Linked DNA regions of Elephas maximus indicus. The protein of the gene in region 2 binds, or shares a complex with, the protein of the main gene of each other region. Links are inferred from orthologs where the notes say so. Each region holds a gene or a part of one and is shown on either strand. Other genes may lie near its edges.

Region 1 (3,747 bases), on a different chromosome or scaffold from region 2:
TGGGGCAGTTCTACTCTGTCCTACAGGGTCACTATGAGTTAGAATCCACTCCATGCAACAGGTTTGCTTTTGGGGGAGCCCTAAGAGAGGTGCCAATGGGCCAGCCCTGTGCTAATCTGGAAAGTGTCCTTACCACTTCAGGGGCAGGTCTGAAAGGCACCAGGGACAGGGCAGCCTGGAAGGGCTGGGCAGTAAACATAATCCCAGGAAGCACCCAGCTTCATTTCTGCCCAGGTTTATGAGGTTATTGAACCGCAGGTGGATGAGATATGCTGATAACGTGAATGACGCAACCAGTCACGGCTCGGGACTCTGGCACAAAGCCACCACAAAGCCATAGTATGGCAAGGGTGACTTCTCCTGAATTTCCAAAAATATGCCAATCAGTAGATGTTTAAAAGCAAGAGAAGTAAAAACACATTGCATCAGAGGCCTCTACATTACTCTGCTGTTGTTTGGGGGAAAGTAGCACCGCCTGCTTGCTCCACGTAGAAAATGAAACGATTTCACCTTCATAGAAGAATGGGGAATTTCCGCTGGAGAAGAAAAAAAAACCAACCACGATCTTTGCGGGGCCAGGCCCAAGGGATCCAGAGGCAGAACGGGATTTTAAGTGGAGAGATCCCCCCCAACAGACTCCCCGATTTGGATTAGGGGAAGAAGGCTGGGTTAGACCCACTGGCCCCTTCCGCCAGGCCCACCATTAGCTGCCCCTGTCCTAAGTAAATGTCAACATAACAAAAGTTGCCACTACGGGTTTGGAGTGGCTCTAGGGGTCAGCTTTCAGTACTCCGGCCCCCTCCTTTCTTTGCGTTCTTTCACAGTCTTTCACAGAGGACTCCGCAATAAAGAAGCAAGGACTCTGAATAAATGCCCGTCAGAGGCACAAAACAATCTAGAGATGCTAAAAAGCTTGGCGCTGTGGTTCACAAAGGAGCTGCTGATCGCGCCAGTGGAGGCGCGCATCTGCATCTTGGCTGAGGCGGGGGCACCCCGGGAAGCGCAGCCTCCCCCACCCCTGGCTCGGGCCTCTCCATCAGAGCCGGGCTGCGTGGGGGGCCCCGGGACTTCACGCAGGCTCTTTGAGCGCCTGGCTCCGCGCGGGAGGGGCGAGTGCTCGTTCCTTTGAACTCGCGCGCCTTTGTTCCCTCTGGGCCAGAGGCCCAGCTTGCGCACTCTTCCCCCAGAAGCTTCAGTAGTTACCTGGGCCACCCCACGTACCCTCCTGTCGTTGCCGTGGAGGCAAAGGAGACTCGTGGCGACCCCATATGTAGAGTAGAATTGCTCCACAGGGTTTTTAGGCTGCAATCTTTCAGGAACAGATCGCCAAGCCTGTCTTCCGAGCGCCTCTGGGTGGATTTGAACTGCCAACCTTTCTGCGCAGTTGTAGAGCGCTTAACCGTTTGCACCACCTAGGGAGTTCATGCACTCCTCTAGCCCCCTCCCCCCTTCAAAAAAAAAGTTTCCCGGACAGGTGAGTACAACAGAAGGATAAGCGCCACCGCCGAAATTCAAACGTCCTAACACGCAAATTCATGCTTAAACATCTGCTCAACCTCCAACGCACTGGGTTTTTCTGACTTATTTGAAGAGTGATTTAAGATCCAAGTTGTGAACATACAGCCTCGGTCTCTCTCTCTTTAAACCACAGGGAGGGAAATGGAGGGAGGACCACCCACATGCAGGCTGCGGCTGAATGGGCCGAGGTGGGTTTTCCTGTTTAATATCAAAGGAAGCGGATAATGGTTTCCTCCGGGCAGCTTTTAGCTCAATTGGGAATGCAAAAACTGCTCCCAACCACTCTCCCGCTGCAAGCTGCGACCAAAAACAGCAGCCTTTCCCACTTCCGTGGGGGGGCTGGGAGGGGGTCGGACGCAGCTTAATCGGCCCTGCCATTTCCCCCTCGGAATTCAATGAGGGCCCGGGAAGGGGGATCCGGGCAACTCCGGATTCGGTCCCGCAAACCCTACCCCCGCCCGGGACAGGCGTGGGTCTGGCGCGTCCCGCCCCGTGGGGACACCTACCAGTCCCTGCAGCCGGCCGTCGGCGTCCATGCAGAGGTATCGGGCGCTCTGCACGCCCTTGATGGCCACGGTCCGCAGCGCCACCGCCTTGATCTCCAGCAAACCTAGGCGAAAGGAAAGTAAGAAGCTGCAGCCGGGGCCCGAGGGCCCGCGACGCCCGGATGCCGTCGGTCCCCGGGTCCGTGCCCCTCCCTGGCTTCGCGCGGGGTCGGGGACCCGGGATGAAAGTGGAACACAAAGGTGCCAAGATTCGGAGTTCCCGGGAGTGGCGGCCCGCTGGAGCGGAGGGAAGTGGGGAGGGGGTGCCAGGGAGGGGGACGGTGGGAACCCGAGGGCCCGGCAGGCACTCACTGTGCGCGCTCTGGCCCCGCGCGCCGTCCACTGCGCCGTCGGCGCGGATGCGCAGGAAACAGCTGAAGAGGCCGTGTGGGCTGGCAGTGTACAGGTGCCTCAGACGGACAGGTTCCCCCCAGCCGTAGTGCACGTGCGGCCCGGAGTCCGAGAAGGCCAGGGGAGGCGCGGCCGCCGCCAGCCAGAGGCCGGCCAGGGCCAGGGCGCGGAGCACCGCGCGCCAGCTCGGAGCCCTCGGCATGGCACCACCCTCAGCTCCTGGTGGCTCCGGCGGCGAGAGGCTGGGGGCGCCGGGCTGGGCACGCTGCGGGCTGAGCGTGCGGGTGGTGGCCGCTAGCCTCGAGGTAGCCGTGCGCTCCTGGCGCCCTGGCGCGCTGCGCTCCCGTTCCGACGGCGCGGCGGCGCTAGCGACTGTCTAATATAGCGCGCCTTATCAGCCGGCAAGTAGGTGCCCCTCGACACTCGCGCACTTCTTATCGGGATTGCATCAAGCCTCCGCCCCCCGCGCACACCCACTCACACCCCGCCTCCGCCCCAGCCCCCTCCCCGGTGACCCCGCCCCGGCCGCGGGATCGAGGGGAGGAGGAGGCCCGGCTTCGCTGGAGGGTCCGGGGAGCTCCTCCCCGCCGGCCGGAGGCTGAGTTTTCTGGGCTGGGGGCGTTAGGTTTTCTAAGCGAGGACGTGGACCACGGAGCCTTTCGCGGGGCCTCTGGCTTCCCCAGGGATGCGTTCGGCGCGGAGCGCCAGCAGGGGCGTAGGCAGGAATCCCGGAACCGGAGATTGGGGGTCACTGAGCTTTGCTTTTCTCACCCGCGGTCCGGAAAAGCCTCGCCCGGCTTTAGAGCCCCCTCCCCTTGAAAGGCCACACTCAGACCCCTCCTTCGACAGTCCCAAGGCCTCTGCATATCCCCAGACCTAAAAGCCGTCTGTTTGAATCTCCCCCTGCAGTTCCGACCCTCTCACGTTTCCCGGCTTTATCCGCGCGCGATCCCGCCCCCGGCCCCCTTTCTTCGCGGAAATCGCCACCCGACGGGGGGCCGTTGTGATCTCCGCCCGGCGGAGACAATGGGGAGCCGTCGCCGCGCCGCCGCCAGGGGGCCCTCCAGCCCAAGGTTCGGCCCGGTCCCCGTGCTCCCCGGGATTCTCTGCGTCCGCCCCGGCCCGGGAGGTGAGCCCGGAGGGTTGCCATTTGAAGACGACTTTCGGGGCACGGTGGGCTTGCAAGCTGCTGGGTTGGGGCCGCCCCCTACCCCCCACTTCCCAGTTCAGGCCCGGGCGCACCAGGTGGAGGGAGGCAGGTCTGGGCCTCCGTTCCCTTCTGTTTTTGAGGAGCCCTGGTGGCGCGGTGGTTAAGCGCTGGGCTGCTAACCAA
Region 2 (3,747 bases):
GATTTTTAAATAATTTACATGAGCATGTATTATTTTAAAGATTTTTAAAAAACTATATAAAAGGAGCATTTTTTCTAACTTATAGATGTATAATCTTAAGAGCTGTTAAATACCTGTAAGTTTTCTCCCCTGAAGTTCTTATTTTGTCAAATCAAAGTTTATTCACATATTAATAATATGTTCTATATACAACTCTATTCAAAAATATGCAAATAAACTTGAAAAAAATGAAATCTGTTCACTGCAAGGGCAGATATGACTAAAACCACAGCACAAGTCCACATGTATAATAATCCAGAAAGTTCAAAAAGAAAAGAGGAGTTAGCAGATCTTTTTACAAGTAAAAAATTTAGTTAATGGAGGAATTTTCCGTTTCTATACATTTTCTATTTCTGTATACTTAACATTTGGGTTTTTTTTTGGGTAACATTTGATTATTCAAAATTTAAACGATTTCTTCTAGCACATCCCCTATTAATAAAGTTTTTTTTTTCCATTTTCAAAATATAACAGGTGTTCAGAGTAATTTGCTTTCCCCAAGTAATCTATTTGACTTAAAAAATTATACCTGCTTCCAGTGACTGGCAGCTTCAATGTGAAGCTAAAACTCTTGCAAATTCCTAAAAGATTACTCTTTTTTAAAGTTCTTAAATAAAGATATTTAGCATTTAGTTATGTGGTTCGTTTATAAATCCTATGTTCACAACAGCTGCATTTGTCTCTATAACCTTGGGCGAGTTACTTAACGTTACTAAGCTTCAGCTTTTTCATCTTTAGAATGAGGATAATAATAGGACTTAGTCCCTAAGGTTGTCACGAGGATTAAATGTGAGAGTGCTTGCAAGTGCTTAATGTGGTCTGTGGCACGTAGTAAGCACTCAATAAATGTTAGCTACTATTTGGCTTGCATTTTCAGTATTGTTTTAATAACTTTAACATTTACCAATCTAAACTCTGGGTTTTGAAATATACTGTTTTAAAATACTAAGGCAAGTTTTTCCCAACTTTTGTATTACTTGTTTAATTTTAACCACCAGAAAAATTAATTGCATATTTCCTGCAATGTAATACAAGTAAAACCAACTGGAAGTATATTTATTTCAATTCCTATATTTCATATGTATCAGTTAGGTAACATTATTTAGTTTACTACAGCTAAGTACCACTAAGAATAGCAATATTAACAACAAATACATATAGGAAATGATCTTGCCTTAACATGATTCTGAAACAGTTGCATGTTGACAGAGAAAGCTTTCACCAATTGCATTTGTAAAGTAGTGGCTTTCCACAAAATGAAAGTAAACTCATATTCTCACACTCTAATATATAATTGTGGGTTTTAAAATAGTCTGAAAGTATAAATGAAATCAACCAGATTAATATGTTGATAGCTTATATAAATAAAACACACACTGCTCTAAATATGAATTTTTGAATTTGATGGAACTTGTGCATTGACCTAAAATTAGTTGAGTTGATTTTAATGAAAAGAGGATTCTCTAAACCGAAGGTACATTTTTTATTTTTTCTAACTCATGCTGCTTATACTGTGAAGTTACAATAGGAAGCCAGCTGTACAGTACCTTGATGAGGTTGTGTCCCACAGCGTAGACAGCTGCTACCTTTCCCTTCTCTCCAGGGGCATGCATACCTGTTCCATACCCATGCCAAGCAACTAGATATGGGTTATGAATTGTAATCCAGTATTTGACCCGGTCCCCAAACGTCTGGAAACAGTATGTGGCATAGTCATTGAAGATATCTATGATGCTTTCATTTTTCCACCCTCCGTATTTTTCTTGTAATGCCAAAGGCAAATCCCAATGGTATAAAGTAACTATAGGTTCAATGTTTCTGAGTATTAGAGCATCCAGAAGAGTATTATAATACTGGAGACCTTTTGCATTGGCAACTGCTACTATTCCATCGGGGAAGAGCCTGGGCCAGGAAATTGAAAATTGATAAAAGGAAACTCCCAAAAAATCCAGGGCCGATAGGTCTTTTTCCAGAAAAATGTAGCTGTCACTGGAACCATTCGTGCTGTTGACGTTGTTCAGGTGTGTACGGAGGAACTGATCCCATATAGAGGGTCCTTTTCCATCCTTCTTCCCACTCCCTTCCACTTGAAATGCTCCAGTCCCAACACCCCAGAAAAAGTTTTTAGGAAAAGTGTCATAGAGAAACAGCTGACTTTCATTTACCGGACTAAAATGAGGATTTTTAGACCATATAGCTCTTCCGTCTCCAGAGAATCCAGTCACAGCCCGTAGAAGAATAAATGCTGACAGGATGACAGATCTTTGTAGTCCCCCGTTGGACATTGTTTTCCTGTAGCATGTGTTTCTCTCATCGGTGCTGAAGAAAATCCATTCATTCCCTGGAGATCCTGCCGAACAGCCTGGCTTCATTTGCCACTAACTGCTGGACTGTCTTATCAACGCTTCAGTAAAAGCTTGTGATTGTAAAGCTCTGTCAATGATTAGCTTGAACTGTGAGACTTAGGATGGGTCATGGAGAGCAACGTAATTTGAGGGAGGTGGCCCTATTACAGTCACCAACATGCTTAGTTCTCTCCCGTTATGAAGAAATTAGATGAAAATGCATCAGTGACAATAGTTTGAATGTGTAACTAAAACACATACAAGCAACAAATCCGAATGAATAAAAATGCCATCTTTTCTGTGGAGCATTCCATATTGACTCAAATCTTCTCTGAATGTTTTGAATAAGATACATACCTATTGCTACAGTTTTTGAGTAGTAATTTTATTATTTCATATTTCAGAAAAAATCTTTCTACGGGTACATTGCAATTTTATATACCAATAATAAAGAGTTAGAAATAATAAAATACTACTCTTCACAAAAATTATCACACATATAAGAATAATCTTAACAATAAGTATGTGACCTATTTTGAGAAAATTATACAACTGTATTAATAGATTTGAAAGAACACTTGAATGATAAGTATAGCATTTTCTGGATGGAAATGCTAAGTATTTTCCAATTTAATATACATATTCTATACAGTCTTAACCAAAATTCTTAAATACCAAATTTTAGTTCAAAAATTATTGTGAAAATTCACTTAAGTAAATAGTCAATAATTACAAAAAACCAAAGTCTGAAAAAGAAAACAGTGAAAGCAAAAAGTACATTCAGATATTAAAACATAAGAAACCATGACAATTTAAATACCATGATTCCAAAACAAGAAAAAACAGAAAGAAATATTGTACAGAATTTAGAGCCTGCAAATAACCTTTGAAAAATTTAACAGTTTTAATACTTGAGGTATCACATACTAAAGAGAGGCAGAGCAATTAGTTAATAGTTTCTGGAGCCTGCCTGAATTTAAATCAAGCTGTGTGACATGGGACAAGTTATTTAACCTTCTGAACCTCAGTTTCCTCTTATGTATGAAGGGGCATAATCATAGTATCTACTTCATGGATTGTTGTATTAAATAAGTTAATACATGTAAAGCATGTATAACAGAGACTGGCAGATAGTAAATGTTTCATAAATACTATTTTTATTTGAGATCCGAAACAGAAAGATTATTAAGTGGTGCTAGGATGTAGCACAAAAGACACTTTTTTTCTGGCTCCTGCCTGCATTTTTAGTTTCATTTCTTTTCCGTTCACTACATGCAGCACCCTTCTTTTTAGCCATAATGTCTTCACCACCCGTCTGTCAGTTTGTGGTTGTGTGGTGGCTTGCGTGTTGCTACGATGTTGG

Evidence for each region. Proteins that work in one complex are often made in the same cells at the same time.
Region 1: the proteins of KLB (region 2) and FGF19 are in contact, whole or in part, in a crystal structure (PDB 6NFJ), measured with the Homo sapiens proteins. The link is inferred for Elephas maximus indicus from reciprocal best matches to the Homo sapiens genes KLB and FGF19. Residues at the interface, in NP_783864.1 of Homo sapiens: Phe379, Lys380, Val392, Leu394, Trp419, Phe420, Thr421, Asp422, Val425, Thr431, Tyr434, Met435, Asn438, Tyr643, Glu693, Arg696, His743, Asn824, Phe826, Met832, Gln848, Phe849, Leu850, Gln851, Ile853, Leu862, Phe931, Phe942; in NP_005108.1 of Homo sapiens: Leu192, Thr194, Asp195, Ser196, Met197, Pro199, Phe200, Leu202, Val203, Thr204, Ser211, Pro212, Ser213.

What each region holds. Positions count from the first base shown.
Region 1 is NC_064825.1:132,523,452-132,527,198, forward strand, and holds the start of FGF19 (fibroblast growth factor 19), read right to left. Parts: upstream 2,617-3,747; coding exon 2,376-2,616; intron 2,129-2,375; coding exon 2,025-2,128; intron 1-2,024. UniProt on the Homo sapiens protein: Involved in the suppression of bile acid biosynthesis through down-regulation of CYP7A1 expression, following positive regulation of the JNK and ERK1/2 cascades. Stimulates glucose uptake in adipocytes. Activity requires the presence of KLB and FGFR4.
Region 2 is NC_064823.1:121,435,052-121,438,798, forward strand, and holds the start of KLB (beta-klotho), read right to left. Parts: upstream 2,412-3,747; coding exon 1,587-2,411; intron 1-1,586.